Linked DNA regions of Drosophila melanogaster. The protein of the gene in region 1 interacts with the protein of each later gene in a pairwise test. Each region holds a gene or a part of one and is shown on either strand. Other genes may lie near its edges.

Region 1 (9,478 bases):
CACCAGGAGTCCGTGGCCCAGTACATTGCCGAGCAGCTGTCGCCGGAGGGCGCGGGCGGTGGCGGCGGCGGCGGTAAGCAAGGCGGCGCGGGCAACGGAGGCGGAAACGGACACCAATCGGACGACTACGACGACTCCAAGGTGGGCTTAAAATTCAGATCTGTGCATAAGTGTCCCATCCGGTGCTTAAGTCTCAAGACTCAAGTCACTTGGTCCACTTGGTGAACGTGGTGCACTTCATCTAACCCACTAATCCAGATGAATAGCTTTCTACTTTCTTGACTCTCTGAACCCTGTGAATCCTACTAAAACGCTGTCCATGATGGTTTCAGTATCATTTATTTTCCTCACACTTGCAGATGCCCCACTACCACGAGGGCATGGACACGGACGTGATCCTTATCAAGTCGGAGACAATTAGCGACAACGAGCAGACGGACAATGGCATGGACTGCCTGGACGAGGACGATGACGACGACTGCTTGAGCCACAAGGCGCCGGAGGTGTGCCTCGAGGAGGAGGACGACGTGCTCTTTCCAACGGACGTGCGCCAGCTGCAGCAGGTGGGATCGTCCGGAGCCGCCGGCGGTGGTGTCTCCGGAGGCTCCCTTCCCGGAAACATGTCTAGCAACGGGATTACCGAAACCAGTCGCCGCGCCGCAAGCTCGCCCGTGTGCTCCACGAAGACCTCGATTAGTTCCAGCGGGAGCTACGCATCAGCGCCCAAACCGGACATCACTATCCAGACCGTGGGCCACATACGCGTGGGCAGCTTTGCCAACATCAACAAGACGCTGCAGAACGGCGGCTCCGGCACAGGAGCTGTCCTATCAGCGGCCAGCAATGGCGGCTCCAGTGCCAGTGGAGTGCTGCCGCTCACAGCGGAGCAAGTGCAGCAGCACACGCTGCTGAACGGCCTAGGATTGTCCGCCGTGAATCCGGCTCAGTCTCTGCAGGCGGCCATCAATGCCGCCTATGGGTCCGCCGCTCCATCTTCATCGGTCGCCATTAGCAGCCGCCGCACCCCTCCCACTCTGCAGTTGCCACGCCTTCAGCGCGGAAACATCAACAATAGCCACCACACTGCCGGCAGCACAAGCAATTCCGCGGTGGCCTCCAATGGAGTGCAACTGTTGCTCAACGGCGGCCACCACGCACAGATGACGCACAACCATTTGGCGCGGGACAAGACAGGAGGCGTGGCCATCGGGGCGGCGGGCAGTTTCAACGGGTACAACGGACTGGCAGTGGCGGGCACAGTGTGCAGCGCCTTGAACAGCAGCGGATCCGGAGCCGGAAGCGGCGGGAGCAGTGCCAACAACAGCGGCGTGGGCCTGGGGATCGGCGGGGCACACACGTCGGGCAGCGGAGGAAGTGGCAGCGGTGGGACGAGGAGCCAGCACCAGGAGCTGATGAATTCGCTGAGGATCGAGGAGAGCAAGCGGAAAATCGACCTGATCAACGCCCAAATCGAATACTGGCAGACGCTCACCCGCAAGCTGAACAGTCAGGCGAATCACATGCCCAATCCTGCGTGCCCGTGCCACTTCCCTGGAGCCAGTGTGCTCTCGCCCGTCGCCGTGACCGCCGCTAGTGCCTCATCGTCCGCTTCCGCCAATGTGTTGCAGACGCAGGCCAGCACCAGCTAGTCCGCAGCCAAGGGGCGGTTCGAACTAGTCGGGGGTCCTGCGGGCGAAAGCGAAAGCGACAGCGACATCATCTCGATAGTGGACATAGATGATGGGCGGTCTAGGGAGGACGAGCAGTCGGAGGACGATGGCGAGAACCGTGACCAGGCCATAACGGACCTGACGCTACCCGACGAAGACGAGGAAGACGATGTAGACGAAGATGACTCACAGGATGCCTTGGTCAGGGATGTTGGCGTGGTGGGCGGCCTGTCGTCGCCAGATACACCGCCCCACTCCTCTCCGCCGCCAGCGAAGCGCTCGAAGCGCCAGGAAGTCACCTCCGAGCTCCTGAGGCAGCTGGCCCTGCAGCAGAATCAGGATCCCCAGGAGGGGTGCTAGTATTTTGTCTAGTTTGCTAATTTTATACTTGCTACCATGGATTGACGCAACCACTTTGTAACATTAATTTTACCATATATATTTATTTACGCCCAGTTTGAGTGCCAAAACAGAAACCAAGATTGGGGCCTTGCCATCGAAAATGCTTGCCAAAGGACCTGCTGAAATAACCGGTCATAACCACTCGCGACCCACTATTTATTTGCCAGCCTAACTGAAACATAGCGATTCATCTCATTTTAAAATGTCTTGCGTCGCCTATTTTTTTATTGCCTTTTTTTTTCTATACATGTAACGTGTTTATTTTTAAGTTTTCCTACGAGCTGCTACCAAAAAGAATAAGAAGAAGAAGGTGACTATCTTGAATGTACATTTACTTTACAAAACTAGACCTTACTTACTTACTTAATTAGAGATCGAGCAGCTAAGAACGCATGAAAATGAAATGTACAAATGTGGTTCCTAATCTAGTCCCTAAAGTCAAAAGTGAAGAACGAAAGAGCTACAGAAAAGAAATCGAAATTGTTACGCCTAGCCGAGAACTTGTGTATTATTTTTTTATATCGCTTAGATTGTTCCCCCGAGGAAAGCATTGAAGGAACTGTAGCTAATTTATGTACTTAATGAACCAGTGAAACCAAACCAATGATTTGAAATGGTGTAAAGAGAAGAAACTTGCTAGTCGCCGCTGCATAACTGTGTAAATGTGGCACACAAACCATTTAGTTAGTGTTAGTGCTACTGTACGTGTAAAATACAATTAATTGCCTATCCAGACCCAGTAACCACAATTTACAAGGAAGCACACACCAAACGAAACTGAAAACCAAGAAAACAAAACTATTTATACAATTTTGTAAACAAGAACTTATTAATAAAACAATGAATTTACTTTGTGGCCCAGCCTGTTGACTTTTGGATAGTAAAATTTCGTTTAAGGCTTAACATTTTGGCACTTACGCTCATTTTGCTCGCTTAAGCTGCTCTTCATTTGGCGCCAAACGAATTGGCGTTGCCCAACACTGACCAGCCAGCACAAAGCGCTACCAGACTGCGCAACCGACTGCTCATCTGGGAACTGGTTCGCACATATGGGCGCCCGCGAACCAGTTATTCGTTACTCATCAGTTCCAGTTCGGTTCAGCAAAAATTGTGCAAATAAATTGCGGAAAGTCGGATTGTTTATGTGGGAATCGGCAGCGAAAAGCGACTCGGCGGCAGTAACAACTAGAGTGAATGAAGTGAGCACTGCCACTCCCACGCACACTACTGTGCAGTCTGTGTGCGCCAACTGTGAATTGCGAAGTGCGAATTCCGTACTTCGGATTGCGGATTCCCCCCCTCCCTTAAAGCACTTGGAAAACCAACACCTGGCGCACGTACACGCACACGCACACTTGTCCTGCTAGCGAAAGAAAAATCCCTGTCAGCTGGTGCAGCGATTCCCGAAGCAACTCCGAGGAGCAGGACACCGTGGAAAGAGGCGACAACTGAAGCTGGTCTTCAGTGAACACAGAGTCCAGTGAGCAAGTGTGAGCAAGTAAACAAGTGATACAGCGCTTGGCAGGAGTCACAGATTATCTGAGCGACCACCTGGATGCCCGGCTTTCACCTCAATGAGATGGGTGAAATGGTCCTGGACGCCATCGACGACATCGGCGTGGTCGATGTGTACGACTTGGCCTCCGACATTGGCAAGGAGTACGAGCGGATCATGGACCGCTTCGGCACGGACGCCGTCAGCGGGCTGATGCCCAAGATCATCAACACCCTGGAGCTGTTGGAGGCGCTGGCCACGAAGAACGAGCGCGAGAACGCCACCATCCAGGAGCTGCGCGATAAGGTGGCCCAGCTGGAGAGCGAGAAGCTGGAGAAGGCCGAGTTCCGGCGGCGGTTCGACAAGGAGCTGGAGCTGATCGAAGAGCAGTGGCGCAGCGAGACCAACGAGCTGGTCGATCTCGTCTCCTCGCTGCAAGACGAGAACAAGCGGCTGGTAAAGCAGACTCAGGATCTGCAGTCATCGTCCGCCCAGAGCTCCGGCCTGGGGGCCAGTCTCACCGAGAGCATTATCAGCATGACCAACCACGAGCTGCACAGCGCTCTTTCGGATACTCAAGTGCTGCAACGGCTGAAGGAGCAGATATACAAGCAGCGCGACGAGTTGAAGCACCGCGAGCGTGAGCTGCAGGACAAGTACAGCGAGCTGGAGCACGTGAGTGTCCTTAAGGATAGGTGCTCATATTCCCAGCTAACGTATTCTTAACTAACCCTTCCCAGCTCAATATCCAGGCGGAGCGTCTGAAGGCATCAGAGCGAGATACCCGGCGCCGCCACAAGCTGATGCAGGCCCAAGTGAAGACGCTGTGCGAGGAGCGCGCCGACTTTCTTGCCCAGCTGCAGGACCAGAGCCGGGAGATCAACCAACTGCGCAAGCGATTGGGCCTGGCCGAAAAGGAGAATGAGGATTTGGTGGCCTCGTACGACGATGGCCAGAACGATCCCAACCGGCCGCGGTACACCACGCGCGAGCTGAAAGAGTTGATTAGCGAGCGCGATGAGCTGCTGACCACCATCGACACCCTCAACGAGCAGCTGGCGGAGCTGAAGCCACCAAGCCAGGCGAAGGGCAAGCGGCAGCGTCACTTCTCCAGCTCCGACGATAGCGATGAGGACGACGATGGTCACGTGGCGGACAACGATGATGACGACGACGAGGAGGAGGCGGCTGCCGAGGCGAACGAGCTGGAGCCACCAGCGGCCGGAGAAACGTGAGTGAGCCCATTTCTGTTACATCCTTTAGTTTTGTGGTCCCTCACCAGAGAAAACAAGAATTTATGAACGACCGCTTGAGTCAAAGTGATTAACGAACAAGCATTTTCAGCCTGAGTCATTCTTTTGTTGTTGCTCAGTGCTAACAATATTCAAATAGACCCTATGATGCAAACGTTTAATTGGCAGGTGATTCAGAGCTTAAACGTATATATTTGCGTGTTTTTTCGCAAGGTCAGCAGGTAACTGGTAAATGGCACAATTGGGAGTCAAACAAATCGTTGGATTCGGATCTATATGTTGATTATTTTTGAGTTTTTATAGCTAATTACTATCCCTAGTTATGATTACTTAAGTACATACATAGTGCATCGCTTTTCAGGCCACCTGGACACGATGCGCCCGTGCAGGGCCCTTTGCCCTACGAGCCGGACGATGCGCCCTGGAAGAAGAGCTCCGAGTCGGGAATACGCAAATTGTAAGTGGCATTCAATCGGCGTAGAGCTCTCGATTCACTTTCTGCATTGTAGCTTCCGGAAGCTGTTCTCGGACCCGTCGGACGGCAGCAACACGTTCCCGAAACGTTCCTTGGCCACGCTCTCCAAGATGGCGCTGTCGGCCACGCCCGGTTCCGTTTCCGCCTCCGCAGCGGCGAAGTAAGCGCCCCTTAAAGCATCCGAGTTGGCGTGCATTTCACTTTTCGTTTGTTTTCTGTTTTTCCGTTTCCGTTCCATTCCGTTCCGTTCCGTTTGCACTGCCCCCCGCACCCCTGCATCTTGCATCCTAATTTATTATTTATTTTTTACTTTTACGTCTTACGATTACGTTTACATTTAGTTTAGGCAACAGCCTGTATCTGACCCTGTCCCTCGCCATTCACCTGCTCCGCCTGAGCTGTACATACATAGTTTACACACTCGATTGCTGTGCCCTCATAATTCTAAGTTGTTATGCAATTTTGTTTACGTAATACGCGTTTTATTCGTAACTCGTAACCCCTAACTGTACTGGATATATTTAATACGAATCCACTTTGTATTTTTCGTACCTTCGATTTATTCTAACTTGATTAACGACTACCACATAAGACTCCAAACATACCACAGCCCCCACATGTGCACGTGTTTCAAAAATCAAGATCGAGAACGAAAACGAGAACGAAAACGATATCGAGATTGTGCAAAGATTGCCGAGTGAGTTTTTAATGAATTTAGACAAAAACAAGCTTAGAAAGACAAACAGTCCTCCCAGGTGCAGATGCAGAGAAAACGATTCGGTGAGATGAGGAGACGAGACGAGGAGGACTCTGGTTCTGGGACCCCAGATTTTAGAAAGTCTAGGTAGAACGGGAAGATTTTGCTTCAATTATCCGTAGTGTAACTGTCCCTAAGACCCCTGCATCTATCTAGATCTTCGGCTATCGCCAGCCCGTATGAGTATTTTAGCACTCTCATAGCAGTTGCCCCAAGCGGCCTTATAAATATATTACAAATTTATCAAAATACGCAAACCTTAGAGCGAAAGAAACCTAAAAGTATATATAATTGATATATAATTAGCAAACGTTACAACCTTAGCGCATTGTTTGTTGACTTGAATTGAACTAACTAACGAAACCAATCTCAGCATAGTAGATTCCATTGATAGCATTCGATTGCACAAAGATGCCAAAAAGCGAAAATCTCCGCGTTACCCCATTGCCGGCCGGCCAGTCTAAATCAAGGAATGTTTTAGCCAAGAGTTTTACCATAGACTTAGCCACTGACCAGCTCGAATTGTTGTTACCGCACCCAGACGACTTCGCCCAGAGCCCCCACTCCACTTGAAGCCCAGTGATTTCGAGGAGATCTCAGTCCGATCCTCGTTCATAGCTAGTATCCATGAGAGAGACGCCCATGTAGTGCAATTACCAATATGGTGTCACTTCCCGCTCCCCTTCCACTCACAAGCACAAAGCGAGGAAACTCCGTTTACATATCAGCTCCATCGCTATCGTCGATGCGAACGTGCCAAAGACTAATGGTCAGACCCTATGCCCCCATTATTCGCAACTCCCCCCCACTACCCACACCACGCACCGAACACCCAGCCCACAACACCCGACTTACCAATCTCAATTAACCCATCTCGTTTCGAACACAACAAAGAGTGGCAACTGAACTTTTATAAAATTGAACACGAGCGCGCAATGGCATCGATATGAAAAAGTGGACTAACGTTGAGTGGGTGAAGACCACGAAAAGAAGATGGAGAGAAATTGAGTATTTGGTGAATTAATGTTAACTAAATTTATATACACATATACACATGCATTATACATAATATACTTTACTATATACTATGTAATACCGTATTATATGGAACTATGACTAACCAAAAAGGCAACAAGGCAACAATTATACAAAATTCAAAGCGTACCAGGGTGGCACTTGGACCATGGACTGCAGGAGCGACCAGAGCGATAGCGAGCATCGGATCGGATCGGATTGGATCGCATCATGGTGAACCGCATCAGAGGGCGACGCCTCCGCATCCGGGTATCATCTGCTCACCCCTGTACGTACATCAAATTTATGAGTGGCTTCCTTTGAGCGACCACCAAAATAAACTTATGAACCGTGGAGTGGATTTCGAATGAATGATTTGGGTTGGCGGCAAGTGGAGCACTCGCTGTGCGGAACCTAAGGTGTTTATTTCATTATTTAACATTACTTATAAGTTCGTTTTTAATTTGGCTTATTTTCGATTGCTTTCAAAATTATTCCCAAGGTATTGTAAGAAACAAGTCGAGATCGGCAGAGAGTTCAAGATCATTGTCATCATCGTGTGTTTCATCGTCAGAAACGAAGGATGTTTGAAGACCATCTTCAAGTTCAAGTATTTTCACGTATCATAACATTTCATATCAAGCCTTAAAGGTTAGTAGCGACTTCAATTTGCCCATAAACACATTTCGGGGTGCTCTAGTCATTGGAGTTCTGGCTTCCATGTCGCCCGAGCCTGTAGCCTCTAGCTACTGATATCCTTTGCACAAGGACAGTCGGTGGGGTTGTATTTCGATCGTGCTTTTGGTACTAAGAAAAGGGGGTGGATGTCGAACAAGGCTGATTGCGTAACACCTGGCAGTGCATCCCATGGGATTCCCCCGCGCCCGACCACCCATCGCGGTGGTTGGAGCTTTCTCGCCACGAGCTTTTCGACTGAGCTTTACCCCGGGGCTCTGGGCCACCCACTTACCAAGCCACGAAGCCATCTTGCAGCATCGTCAACCCTGCGCATCCGCGTCCGCATCCTGCATCTCGTGCGGTGCGTAGCAGCATCTCGTGCCCCGTCCTCGAGTCCTTGCTGGGTCGCTTCTGCCGTTTACTGGGCGCCTGATCTCCATGCCGGGTTTGAGGCGTATCTAGGGCGTGGTGGTTGTTCCGGCTGGACGACCTTGAGCACCGCCCCTCATCTGCGATGGCGTTTTAATTGCCCAGCAACAGGCGATTTGTTGGTGGTGGTGGTGATGTGGTGGCGGCTCTTCGTTCGGGGATGCGTTCTGGCCATTCTCAACGGGATTTTCACGCAGTTCCAATTAAGCAATTAAAAATCTGCCACCGGACTTGGCGGCGAGACGTGGGCGGGTTCATGGTGGCCGGAGACGGCGTTGTCAGCTTTTTAATTAAGAAGATGTTAGCGTAATAGGATAGAAGGATATGCGCTGCGAAAATCGTAGGTCGAAATGTGCGCAGCTAATGAAGAAGGCCCCTGTGTTTTTGTGGTCACTGGGAGTGGGCCCCACAATTTCCACTAATTGCCCTGGCCTGGCATGGGCTGGCCAGAAAGAAAAGAATTAAGAGACGGAGCGGAGATAAAAGCGCTTAATGAGTTTCTGCAGAGGCCCCGTGCGACGATTTCAGGGGCCTTAGTCAGTCGATTTTTGAACAGGCTCGCAGCAGCCGCCGCAGAAGCTCCGTTGGATTTGGATTTGGATGCAAGGGGCAGCCCCACTCGAAACTCCCGCACTTCCACAGAGCCAGTACAGTGAATTCTGGAGATGGACAACTGCGCAAGTTGTGCTTTAGGCTGGGACACAGGACTCATTCGACGCAGTGAACCTGACGGAGTGCAACCAGTCCTACATGCTTATTTGTCTCGATTACCCAATGATACATGTGTATATATATGTATGTATATTGCATGCACCTAACCGGCTAACTGCATCGAAATGAGAGCGCTGGAAATACCGCGGTGCCAGCCAGCGAGGGTTCACTGTGCGTGTGCACACTCGCCGCAATCCAGCACCGCTCGTCGACTGCTGCTCCTCGATGAGCGCCTGAGCCCAAAAACTGTTTTTTACACAAGGACATTGCCATCTCATGGCCACCCTAAGATAGAGAAAGAGAAAGAGCGGGAGCGCACACTTTCACATCTTTCTCTTGCAGCGAGTGTGTGCGAGTAGTGAACGCGGGCCAGAGCGGGATGGGCGGAGCGCTGGTGGAGCTCTATAGCTGGCCCGCTCCCGCCGCAACATGCTGCAGCTGCTGCTGGTGCTGCTTTCTGGGCGCCTGTTTAGCGGCCAGCGCCAGGTTGGAACAAGAAAGCGAAAGTGTTAACGCTCGCGTACATCCGCTGCACCGTTTTCCGCTCCACTGTGGACCGCTCCCGGCGCTCCTGTGGGTCGTCATGTGTGCGCG
Region 2 (7,261 bases), on another chromosome or scaffold:
GCAGGGCATCGTGATAGTCGCGACAGTGCCGGGGGAGGAGGAGGAGACTTTAGCGAATCCTTGAGCATCGCTTCCGAGATGGTCGGAAAAGTTATTGGAAGAGGGGGCTCCAATATATCCCGGATCCAGAACGACTTCAATGTCCGCGTCAAATTGGACAAGTGCGACTTAATAGTCAAGATAACTGGTAGCATCCAGAGCAACGTCATCGATGCTATCAATCACGTTCGCAAGCAGGTCACTAATTCGGGTGATAGGGGACAGGATCGCGATAATAGGGACCACGGTTCCAATGAAAGATATGACGGAGGCGGATACGACAGATACAAGGGGAATAGCTACGAGTTCAATCCCACTTCTTCTGAGTCCAATAAGGACAATGGGGATCTTACGGGCATCATTGATTGGGAAGCCCTGAATAAAGCTTCGGTGAGTACAAAAGAAAAATTAGATATTATACGTTCTAAACGATGTATCCTTACAGATAGCAGCTACTGCGGCACGGTGGTCCAAGTGTCCACCGCTAACAAAGAACTTTTACAAGGAGGCTCCTGAAGTGGCCAATCTGACAAAATCGGAGATTGAGCGCATTCGCGAGGAGAACAACAAGATAACAGTTTCTTATGTTTTCGAGCCAAAGGAGGGGGAAACGTCACCGCCTATTCCAAATCCAGTTTGGACCTTCGAGCAATGCTTTGCCGAATATCCAGATATGCTTGAGGAGATTACCAAAATGGGCTTCTCCAAGCCCTCGCCCATCCAATCGCAGGCGTGGCCCATTCTCCTCCAAGGTCATGACATGATCGGTATCGCCCAAACAGGCACTGGCAAAACACTAGCCTTCCTTTTGCCCGGAATGATTCACACCGAGTACCAGAGCACGCCCAGGGGCACGAGGGGCGGAGCTAACGTTCTGGTGCTGGCACCCACTCGGGAGTTGGCTCTGCAAATCGAAATGGAGGTCAAGAAGTACTCCTTTCGTGGCATGAAAGCGTAATTATCCTAATCGAACATGAAGTGAGTTCCCTTTTTAACCAAAATAACACAATTTGCAGGGTTTGCGTGTACGGCGGTGGCAATCGCAACATGCAGATATCCGACTTGGAGCGCGGTGCGGAGATCATTATCTGCACTCCGGGACGCCTGAACGATTTGATAATGGCCAATGTCATTGATGTAAGCACCATCACTTATCTGGTGCTTGACGAGGCAGATCGCATGCTGGACATGGGTTTCGAGCCGCAGATCCGGAAGGTGATGCTAGACATACGTCCGGACCGTCAGACCATAATGACGTCGGCCACTTGGCCACCAGGAGTACGTCGTTTAGCGCAGAGCTATATGAAGAATCCCATCCAGGTGTGTGTCGGATCGCTCGATCTGGCAGCCACGCACTCGGTGAAACAAATTATTAAATTGATGGAGGATGACATGGACAAATTCAACACCATTACATCTTTCGTTAAGAACATGTCCAGTACGGACAAGATCATCATATTTTGTGGACGCAAGGTTCGTGCTGACGACCTATCCAGTGAACTTACGCTGGATGGTTTCATGACCCAGTGCATTCATGGTAATCGCGATCAGATGGATCGTGAGCAGGCTATTGCCGATATTAAGTCCGGCGTCGTGCGCATTCTGGTTGCTACCGATGTGGCATCACGTGGCCTGGACATTGAGGATATCACGTAAGCAAATTTTTCGAGTCGAGGAACCCATTAGTCATTATTTTTTCATCCACAAAGACATGTCATCAACTATGATTTTCCGCACAACATCGAGGAGTATGTGCACCGTGTTGGTCGCACCGGACGTGCTGGCCGACAGGGCACATCAATAAGCTTTTTTACGCGCGAGGATTGGGCTATGGCCAAGGAACTAATTGAGATACTGCAGGAGGCGGAGCAGGAAGTGCCCGACGAACTGCACAACATGGCTAGACGCTTTAAAGCCATGAAGGACAAGCGCGCTGCTGAAGGTGGCGGTTTTGGAGGAAGAGGTGGTCGTTTTGGAGGCGGACGTGGCGGCGGACGCCGAAATTTCGATCAATTTCAATACTGATTCATTCTACATTTTCTAGTTATAAGAGACTAGAGCGCATTGAAGTGCCTTGCCAAAAATTGTTTAACTATTTATCTATTCCAATTATAGATGATCATAACCCAAAACATGCCGTGTTAAAAGAACACGCGATTTAAATGTATCAAACTAAGAGTTTAGAATGTTTATTGAGCTTAGTTAGTGCCACCGGCGTATTTCTCCAGCAGTTCCCGTTTCCGCTGGCGCAGCAGTGCTTCCTGTACATCTTGTTGCGTCGGCACGGGAACGTGAGCGGTGAACTTGGATGCCAATAGGCCATGAGGATCCTCCACGGCGGCTCGAGCCTTGGCATCCTCGATGGCTTCGCGTGCTGGTCCCGAAAGGGGATATATTTCATCCTCCTCTTCGTCATCGATTATGCGACCATCTCTGGCCATTTTCTCCCGCCATTCCTGCACGGCCTTCTGAATGGCCGCTCGTTCGATGCGTTCCTCCAGAGGGATCAGAACACCATCTTCGTCATCTCGATAGCCGTAGTATTCGGCATCTATGTCCTTCATTAGTTCAGCGCGTGATTTCCTGGGTGGCGGCGGAGGATCCTGTTCAAAGAGCTCGCGAACACCCGGCAGATCCTTGGCGGCTCCAAAGTATTTGTAGCCTCGATTGCCGGGAACTTCACGGCCCTCCGCATCGAACATCTTGGGACCATAGCGTCTATAGTGGGGGCCACCCAATGAGGATATCTGATTTTCCCAATGCCGTTTCTCACGCAATAACTTGTTGATTTCATCGTTCAGATCGCGAATCCGGAATTCTCCCAAGCCAGCTATAAGTGGTCGCTATTAGTGTATATTGTTAGGGAGAAATAAATAAACCGAAATAGGTACCATTCTGTATCTGGGCCACCTTCTTCGATATGTCGCGTATTATCTCCAGGCGGAACTTCTCACATCTGGGCAAATCGTGGCACTCGGAGGCCAAATAGGGCCGGCGTTCCTTTTCACCAGATTCCACTTCTTTTGCGGCCCGCCAACGTGCCAAAGTTGTCCTGTCGAAAATAAGCGGATGAGTGCTGGAAATCTTATGTTATACGTATATCCGGGTTACTTACATTGCCTTCTCTGCATTGCGCGCCTGAAAATATACATGTATTATTCATTTAATTAAAATTAATAAAATTTTCACATCATCTTACCATTTTGTTTACTAACTTCTTCTGCCTTAATTGCCAGTCACAGCGAACTATACGGAAATCGGTTACACGTTATCGATAGCAAGTACAGTAAATATTGTCCAGTAGCGATTTCACATATATTTTAAATGCAATTTATTAATAATATTCCCGATGAAACCCGAAGACATAATATTATTTATTTGTACTTAATATATATATACCATATGAATTTTATTTTCTCTTAATTGGATACATGCTGAAATAAACGATTACCATTCACTACGAATACTACTAAGTACACTACCGCGCACTTGGCCACACTGACCTGCCCAGTTGTTTTTTCACGACAACATTTACGCTCTTTGGAAAAGGAAACCTTTTTTCGCGAATTTCAAGCAGATCCCGACCAGAAACACACCTGCCCCAGGATGTTGGCCCTCATCAACAGGATCCTCGAGTGGTTCAAGAGCATCTTCTGGAAAGAGGAGATGGAACTCACGCTAGTGGGGCTGCAGTTCTCCGGGAAGACGACGTTCGTCAATGTTATTGCAGTGAGTATTTTCGCAGTGGGTGTGTGCGAATTCGTGTGGGTGTATGGGTGAGAGGGTGGTTTTTTTTGTGTGTGGTTGTCTGTTGTGTGGGTGGGGAGGGGGTTCACGGAAAGCCGGGGGATCAGCTACTACTTAAAAAGCATTACAAACCCCCAGTGACAAAGGAATTGGTCTTAGCTTGATTCCCCCACTCTAACATTGTTTATTTCTTATCTTTTCGTACTCCCAGTTTCTTTCACTGCATCCGTAATTAACGCTGTGCTAACCGTTTCCTTTTAGTGGTAAAGTTTACCGTTCCTGCCGCTGTAATCAATAAACCTACATATAGCCCATATATACGCATGTTTCTCCGCACAATGACGCCATTATCAGCACTTCAACCCCTGACCCCGTATTCCCGTACCGCCTCCCTGGTTTTTTTCACACATTTCTGCACGCTGATAATGCGACGATCTCAAGTTACCATTTACTGGAACTCGTAGATAGTTGCATACACTTGCCAGTCGTTGCGGGAGGTGGAGTAACTACTGCCTTTGTGACCGCCTGACTTATTATGAGTCATGTGAATTCGATTCAAATGTCTGCCCGCATCTACGGGAAATTTGTTTGTTCAAGTGCTCCCGAAACGGAAATATTCCCCTGCTTATCACTGCTATTAGACTCCAATTCCGTGTTTGCATTCAGATTCGTGCATTAGTGTAATGTTCAGGTTCGGAATGAAAACAAACTTGTGGGTGGCGCCAATTAGTCACTTTTCCCATTTCACTAGCGACTGCTAACCTATAGTATACCTTTTTAATTTAAACTAAGTCACAGAAGTAACATCTTGCCATTTTAGGAGCTTTCGATTCTCTTATTGAATGCATATGTAAGGTGATTGATGCTGATACAGAACAAAGATTTATGGGTTAGAATCAATTATCAATTTAAGTGTTGTATGTTGAATTAAATTTAGTACCAAAAGACATTGTTTGATCAATACTTTAAGATATTACAATAGTTATTTATTTAAGAGCATTTTCAAAAAGAATAACAAATTTTTTAAGGTTTTGGATGCTGTCATGTGTAAAAAATCAATTTTTTACACGAGTTTTACATTATTTTGGATTGCATACTTCTAGGCTTTGTTCTTTGCTAATATAAAAGTTGTATTTTATTTAAGACACGATTACTTACTAATTATTTTTGTTTCTTGTAGTCCGGCCAATTCGCTGAGGACATGATACCCACAGTTGGATTCAACATGCGCAAGATCACCAGAGGCAATGTGACTATCAAGGTGTGGGACATCGGAGGCCAACCTCGATTCCGATCCATGTGGGAGCGCTATTGTCGCGGCGTTAATGCGATTGTGTAAGCAATAATGATACTTAAGCAACAATCGGTAGTCAAGTAACACTGTAATGTATTAATCAACAGCTACATGGTGGACGCAGCCGATCTGGACAAATTAGAGGCCTCGAGGAACGAGCTGCACTCACTGTTGGACAAACCGCAGCTCGCCGGCATTCCAGTTCTCGTGCTGGGCAATAAACGAGATCTTCCAGGCGCTCTCGATGAAACCGGACTCATCGAACGAATGTGAGCGCCTTAAAATTGTTAAAACTATTTAAAAATTATAAATTAATCATTTAAAATAAATTGCAGGAATCTATCGAGCATACAGGACCGTGAAATCTGCTGTTATAGTATTTCCTGCAAGGAGAAGGACAACATTGACATCACGCTGCAGTGGTTAATTCAACATTCGAAAAGCCAAAGTCGTTAGATAACGAACACCGACATACACACAACTCCGTACCCTCTACACTCACACACTTAGGCACTATATCTCACACATATTTTAATTTTATTGTTTTTGTATTCATTATATATTTTACATTTCGCTTATATGCTTCGATGCGGATTATTTTCAACTGGAATTTTTGCTTAGCGAAAACTGGAATGCGAAAGCAGCGGAAAAGCATAAATTATAAAGACGTTTTAAACTATAAATATATATTAAAACAATATGAATGTAAATTCAATTAAGCAAGTGAAAGCCATAGTTAAAGAAATTCCATGATTGATTGTAAAATATGCAAAAAAAAAATTGTTGAGGTTTTCTAGCTGCAGCCAAAAAACCGAATTGCGATTCTTAAGCCTTGTCACGCTTTTCCTATACTCATTAACATTCACCTAGTTAATTATGATAATTTATATGAAACAGCAATGCAAATTATAAACTACAATAACCAAATTTTGAAAACTGATAACGAGCAAGGCATACAAACAACAGCAATAAAACGAAAAATAAATGAAAAACCAATAAAGACAAATTATAAAAACATTACAAAACCCCAAGTGAGTCTCATAAATTACAAATAACTGAGATTGCGGCGATTGAAAGCATCAAATATTCCAAACACTTGTTCGAATGTAATTTATAGAGTCAAGACGACCAGCATTAGTCGGCCACCCAAATGCAGACGTTGCAGGCTAACAATTGATAGATGCAGACAGCCCTATGAACGCATAAATATTGGAAAACGAGGTGCCATGGCCCTTGGCTAATTAGAAATTCTGTGTGCAGAATCAAGTCACTGCTACCGGAGGATAGCCACGGAGGAGGGGAGCAGGTGGACAAGGGCTCCGACTTCCAGGAATACGCGTCAAGCACGAGCCGTGCGATTGAGTGAGTCATGCTCAAATGCTTGCATGCCCCATGTCTCTGTAGCTTCCTGCTTCCTTTGGAAGTCCGAATACGTAGCAATCTTCCTGCCGCACACATTGCGCGTTCGTTTCCTAAGTCTTTCGTTTTGTCGCTCGCCTCATATTTCAAATTGCGTTAATTACACTTTTAAATGCGGGGTATTAACAGGGCCAGCGATAAGCATCTCGCTTCGCAGCCATTTGCCACAAGCCAAACATTCGGCCACAACTCGAGGCGAATCTCCGAAAAAAAAAGAAAAATATACCGCTAACGATGTGCTCGTAAATTTTCATACCAAAACTATAAACGAGCATCAACAACAAGCCGAAAACATTTGCGAACATTACGCATATGCCCTGTGCTTAGATGTCGTATAAAATCGTAAAGACAAATGGACAGTGCGGTTCATAGCTTTAAAACAACTAATTGATATACTATACATAGAAGTGATGAAACAAATGGTTCGTTGTTTGTCATTGAATTGACGTATTCATTAACTGATTAGTTGACTGGTCTTTAATTGCAAGTGGGTTTATCTGATCTGAAGTTGTCAGCGATAGCAAATTGAATCGACTTTTTTATGCTGATTAATTATTGCAGAATCAATTGGTTAGACAAGTGGAAGTCTTTCGAATAAATGGCTTGTGACTCTATTCGCTTTAACTTTATGAACCCCACTGTATTCGACGTGTAAAATAAAAATGATATTCTTGCTGATGCCACAAAGGCAGACGGTGCTTAGTTCTTTCTGCTTAATTTTCAGCGATTTGTGCGACTTGTGCTGATTATATAATGACAAAT
Region 3 (5,862 bases), on another chromosome or scaffold:
AGCCATATAGACAGAAACATCCAACAGCCAACTAGCAGCAAATATACATGCGAAAGTTTAGCAATCTATAAGATCGAAAAAGGATAATATGCGGTGTAAGGAAATTTAATGAATTTGAAAAGCAGTAGGCAGCTGAATTGCTCATGGCCGTGGAGAAGAGAAACCAAACAGAAAGAAAAAAAAAACAAAACAAAACACATATGTAGCATATTAATAATTATGTATAGTAAGGTTTATGATAACATACACACACTCTTATATACATATATTTAACGGTTTTATATACAAAAATTGTTAACATTTAAGCATCAATTGGAACCAATATAAGACAACAAGCAAAACCTAAAACTTGAATAATTTTCACAATTTTAAGATGAAAATTTTTTTGTAAAAAGAAAAATATCGAAAAACAGCCGAAAAACAAATTTGATGTGTGGAAATAATAATTTATAATAGTTCACAGATAGCTCGAATCTTAAAAAGAATTGTAAAAAAATCAGTGGAATGTCTCACAAAATCTAGTCAGCATCAAAATCATGAAAAACAAATGGCCGAAAGGCCATTAAAAAAATTCATTACCACTAAGAGTCAGCGTTTAGTAGTTCATACCAATATTCAAAAGGCGGAGAACAACATAATTAAGCCCAGTTAAAAGTCTAGACCATGTGTGTACTTTAATGAAACTACTTTATATAAACCTAGCAAATAGCGTAAATAACATTTTCAAGACGTCACTAAAAACAATGCAAACCCGAGCGGGCAACCGTTTACTAGAAAGCGAACAACAAATTAGCTAAATCATATAAAACATTTATAGAGTGTTAAAAACTAGGCGAAAACCCTCCATTACACTTCTCCCCAATTCAGCCTATTGGCAACTCGAAACGCCCTTTAAATCACGCTCAATTATCCCCGCCTGATAGGATCCGAGGATTGCAGCTCCTCCAATGCTAGTCACTAATGTTCACAAACATTTTCTAAGCTAGACCGAAGATTGTGTAATAATTTGATAAGACCTTTGTGTGGTTTCATAGCAAAATAACGCACAAATCGATAACAAAAACTCTCAACAGTCCACAAATCTCATGCTTTTAAAACAAAAGAAATAATTTTACTGAAACCAAACAGCTGGAAGCTAGAAGCTGAAAGAAAACCAAAGCCACATCCTACGTTGAATAATTTACCTGTATAATATTTATGTCATTTCGTTAAACGCAAAATGTTAACATACTTTTAAAGCGCGTGTAAAACGGATAGTTAATAAAATAACGACAACAATATTTAAAAGAACATATACACTCGATGAAAATGAATATTAAAGATCGAAAAAAAGAAAAAGGAATCTGTTATTAGTAGGCCGTGGGTTCAATAAGATCTTTTCGAGTATGATAGGTGTATTTCGTTTTGTGCCTCCAAAATTTCAGATATTATTCAGCTACACACAGACAGGCCTCCCAAATTTGTAAGCTCTGTAAATTCAAAACCAGAACTGCTGCAGGCCAGTGGCGAAGTTAATTTGTCAGAGGAAAACTCAAGCCATCTCCATGGATAAAAACCACAAGTCGGGTGAGTCAAGCCGAGTGTGGCATCCTTAAGTTGTTAAAACTATGTGTGTTCTTTGCTCCAGAAGAGGGGTTTGGACGTTCAATGTCTAGTAGCAGTCGCCGCGTCATGTGGAAGCTCAACGAGGAGGAGGAGACATTCGACTCCTTGGTCAATTATCGGCGGCTTCCTTCGCGCAGCCTAAACCGAAGTCAGGTGACCGATGTGCCCACCAAGGGACACACTACCTCCGAAAATTGCCAGCTGCCAGCGCAAGAGTTGGAAACAAAGAGCGCCACCAACGAACAAGGTGCATTGGGCATAATGTCGGTTAGCCTACCGCAAACAACCAGGAATTCCCATCAATCGTCGGCCACGTCACTGCCGGAGGCCAAGGGATGCACTGCCACCGAAAACTGCCAGTTGCTAGCGCAAGAGGCGGAAACAAAGAACGCCAGCAACGAACAAGGTGGATTGGGCAAAATGTCGGTTAGCCTGCCGCAACAAAACTGGAACGCCAATCAATCGTCGGCCACGTCACTGCCGGAGGCCAAGGAGATCAGCTCCAAAGAGCAGGCGATCATCTACTGGCGGCGTCTTTTCGATGGTATCCACAAGCGCCAGCGTGGCGAAAGAAAAGTTGCAGCAATGCAGCCCGAAAATACCACAGATGTCGTGCTGACGTCCAAGCCAAACCTGGCATTGCGCTACAAGCCCTCCCATGAGTCGCTTAAAAACAAGCGGATCAAGGACCTGGCTCCTGAACGATGCCCGAGCACGTCCCGGGGATCAACGTCCTGCAAACTGGTATCGGACCTCAAGATGGAGACGTTCAGCCTGCCGCCGCAGCAGACGTGTGTGGTGCGCGAGGTGGAGCCTCGGTTTGGCCAGCGCCGACGCATGTTGTTGGCCAACGACACGGATTCGTGCTACTCCGGCGAGCTGGAGGTCCCCAAAAACAGTCCCGTCCAGGAGCCAGGACCCTATCCGCGCAGCGAACTGATCAGTGTCCATGTCTCGGCGCCCACCAGCTCCTCTTTTACGGGAGCAACACGGCGGAGTCTGTCTCCAACTAGGCAGCGCACTGCGACGAGCAAGGTGGCCGCCGGGACGAAGGGCGGACCATCACCAGCAGTTGGGGGCAACAAGTGCTCGAGCGTCAGCAGCGGGAGTGCAGGTACCAGCCAGCTGCCTAATTTCCGCCAGCGGCAGCAAGAGCTCCATCGCTATCGCGTTATGATCGAGCAACGGCGCCTCGATCTACTCGAGCTCAAGATAGCCCGCGAACGCGAGGAGGCGCTGCACAGCGAGGTTCTGTTTCACAAGGAACTGCAGATCAAGGAGAACATGATCAAGGTGTACGAGGACAACGACTGCTCCAACGCCTAGGACTTCCTTTATTCCTAACTCTTTCGACCCCAAATTCAGAAAGGTATTTTACACTTGGCAATGGCCCTGGCCTCAGTAGTTCAAAACACTCAGTCAAATAAAACCGAAATTCATTTAGACATCCCAATCTAGGTTTTTTATTAACTACCTGAGAAATAAGTATCAAAACTGCAATATATGAAATTCAACTTAGCGGGTAATTTCAAATCTAATGTGCCCGTTCGTTTACAGCACTGGCAGTGTGTGCGCATCGCTGTGAATGGACATTAGCCCCAAACAACTTTTTATTTCATTTGTTTAAACCGAAAACGTGAAATGTTAATAAATGTGTGCCGAGTTTGCGGCAGGAGCAGGCTGTGCCCCAAAGCCGTGGAGCTCTTCAAACCTGGCAGACAGGATATTCTTCGCCGCATCCAACTAATAACCGGAATTCTCGTGAGTTAAGGAATCAAAATGGATCGCGCAATTTACATATGTGCGAGCGCTTCCTTTTTTGTATTCTGCAGCTTCAGCAGATTCCCAATGCTCCGGATATGGTGTGCTTTTGCTGCCAGACAGATCTGCAATCGGCCATGATTTTCCGGAGGCAGTGCATCCTGCAGCAGAAGAAATGGGTGCCATTGCTACAAAGTGATAAAGTGGGAGCCAGCGAGGAAAAGAAGGTGGAACCCAATGATCCCTCAACCAAGAAGAAAACGACCAAGCGGCGAAGGGGGCGACCCAGGATGCCACTGGAAATTGTAGATATAGTCGTAACGAACGAGAGTAAGGCTTCAGCAGGTGAATCAGTTGGTGGTGATGAATTTGATCAGCCGGTGGAGATCTCCAATGAACCGGATGCCACCGATAGCGATGTTAATCTGGAGGAAATAGATCTTCCGGATGAGGATGGCTTGGAGTCGGATCACGATTTACCCAATGTTCAAATCCACAAGTGCGATACTTGTGGAATTATCAAAAATAATAAATCATCTCTGGTCAGGCATCAGTTTGAACATAATGGAATAAGACCATATCCCTGCAAGTAAGTAAGAATCGCGACGAAAATATACATTTACTGATACTTAAATAGGTCCGTCGTCTTTATCTTTATCTCTTCGTATCTGGTCCATTATCACGATTTGATTAGCATACATTGTGCCTACATACATACATATGTATGTAAATTCTTTTTCTTTGTACAGTATCTGCAATATGTATTTTTCAGGGAGTGCCCAAAGACCTTTCTGGTAGCGAGTGAGCTGAAGGCACACAATCTCACCCATCACACCTTGGAGCCCCCGTTCGCCTGTCGCTACTGCGATCGTCGCTACTTCTCCGTGGTGGGCAGGAAGAAGCACGAGCGGGTCCACACCAACGAGCGACCATTTGTGTGCGATCAGTGCGGCAAGGCCTTCACCAGGACCTGCATTCTGAAGGCCCACATGGCGGTCCACCAAGTTGTAAGGAAGTATAGGTACTTGATGAAATTAAAAAAAAACATGTCGAGATACATTCTGTTATAATCTTTCATTCCCGTTTTAGTTGCGATGTCTGCGATCGTTCGTTCAGCCTGAAGAAACATCTCGCTACGCACTTCATCTCCAATACCCACAAGCGGAATGCTGAAGCCGTCACCTCGTCGTCGGAGTACATGTCCATGCTCAGTTTTGAATCGGATGAAACCTGGTCCCAAGGCACTCCACTGACCACTTCCATTGACGAGGATCTGGTGCAGTCGCAATTCGACCTTTTGTGTCAGGAAGTTTAATACATCTCAAGATGCCATATGTTTTATCAATATACCAAAAAAAAAAAAAAAATTTAGGTAAGAGCTAACCCACAAAGACTTAATAACAGCTGAAACCACAAAAGACAATATCAAATATGGGTCTAAAAATATTGGTGACATTTTTGTAATTCCTTAAAACTCAGCAACAAAGAGACAACTTGGGAACAAATTTAGCTTTTTTTAGCACGTAGTTTTTAAAAAACACTTTACAGTGGCCATGTTATTGCAAATTTTAGTTTTTGCTATTTTTTTTTGCGTAATTTACATCTGCATTGCAATTGCTTCCTTGAATATAACAAAAGTGCCTATATAGTCTTATCTTATACATACATACTTTATTGGGCTAGTTTTAAAATAAAATATATTCAGACATGAGGTACAAAAATGAACATTGAATTTAGAATCAAATCTTTTTCGAAATACATTTTACGAAACATTTTACGTGGATTATTTCGATTTACCGAAACAGAAATATGAAGCTATATGTTTTGTTTTCAAAAATTGATCCTGCGCATTATTAGCATGCAGGTCGTACTTATTTCAAGCACCCATGAAATGGTTCAGCTTAACGATTTGACCAATATTATTTACACCTATTATTAAGTTTTAATATTATAAGCAGTATCTGTTTTATCAGACTGCTCCAGTTGTTAACAGATCAATAGCTATTTAAATAAAGATTTTGACTTTCAAAAATCCCCGCCTTGAATGAATAATTTATCTGGTTTGCCTCAAAATGTAATCACCATACAATTGCCTTTCCATCAGTCGAGTTTAGTGATCGAGATGCTGAACATCGTGTGTAGAGTCTGCGGAAGGCAGAAAATCTGTGAGAAGAGCCTGAATCTCTTCGATTTGGTCAACCGAAAATATCTAAAGCACTTGCACATGATAAGCGGACTAAGAGTGAGTTAAAAGACGTTTTAAAATTGAGATAAATAATATCAGCACCAGTTGGTGGATTTGGACGATGTTCCTGGTTTCATGTGCCTTTGCTGTCAGGCGGAACTCAGATCGGCATTGGCATTCCGGAAGCTTTGCATTAAGACCCAAACTAAATGGCTAACCATCGAGGACGACTCTTCGTCGGGTGATGAAGATACCAATGACAATTCGGAACTGGAATCGGAAAAATGCGCATTCAGCGATTTTGGGAAAAA

The links. The genes of interacting proteins can lie anywhere in the genome.
Region 2: the proteins of Rilpl (region 1) and Arl8 interact in a two-hybrid assay, tested with the Drosophila melanogaster proteins (one study listed by BioGRID).
Region 3: the proteins of Rilpl (region 1) and nom interact in a two-hybrid assay, tested with the Drosophila melanogaster proteins (2 studies listed by BioGRID).

What each region holds. Positions count from the first base shown.
Region 1 is NC_004354.4:1,389,917-1,399,394, forward strand, and holds Rilpl (Rab interacting lysosomal protein like), read left to right. Parts: upstream 1-3,137; 5' UTR 3,138-3,627; coding exon 3,628-4,242; intron 4,243-4,307; coding exon 4,308-4,798; intron 4,799-5,166; coding exon of another isoform or gene 5,167-5,181; coding exon 5,182-5,277; intron 5,278-5,329; coding exon 5,330-5,455; coding exon of another isoform or gene 5,456-5,459; exon of another isoform or gene 5,460-5,636; coding exon 5,637-5,769; 3' UTR 5,770-7,421; downstream 7,422-9,478. Other genes in the region: CG32813 (uncharacterized protein), read left to right, coding at 1-141, 333-1,649. UniProt on the Drosophila melanogaster protein: May have a role in lysosome distribution by interacting with Arl8.
Region 2 is NT_033777.3:8,123,075-8,130,335, forward strand, and holds Arl8 (ADP ribosylation factor-like 8), read left to right. Parts: upstream 1-3,530; 5' UTR 3,531-3,645; coding exon 3,646-3,768; intron 3,769-4,966; coding exon 4,967-5,121; intron 5,122-5,187; coding exon 5,188-5,349; intron 5,350-5,415; coding exon 5,416-5,536; 3' UTR 5,537-6,761; downstream 6,762-7,261. Other genes in the region: CG7878 (uncharacterized protein), read left to right, coding at 1-429, 485-993, 1,056-1,691, 1,749-2,064; CG9667 (uncharacterized protein), read right to left, coding at 2,238-2,869, 2,931-3,091, 3,155-3,177, 3,239-3,241. UniProt on the Drosophila melanogaster protein: Required for normal functioning of the late endocytic pathway including lysosome motility and late endosome-lysosome fusion. Not required for the delivery of lysosomal membrane protein-containing vesicles to late endosomes.
Region 3 is NT_033777.3:8,719,996-8,725,857, forward strand, and holds nom (numerous disordered muscles), read left to right. Parts: upstream 1-3,178; 5' UTR 3,179-3,246; coding exon 3,247-3,366; intron 3,367-3,437; coding exon 3,438-3,955; intron 3,956-4,138; coding exon 4,139-4,387; intron 4,388-4,455; coding exon 4,456-4,681; 3' UTR 4,682-5,362; downstream 5,363-5,862. Other genes in the region: CG11760 (uncharacterized protein), read left to right, coding at 1-2; CG8136 (uncharacterized protein), read left to right, coding at 1,545-1,566, 1,628-2,931; ouib (ouija board), read left to right, coding at 5,489-5,608, 5,657-5,862.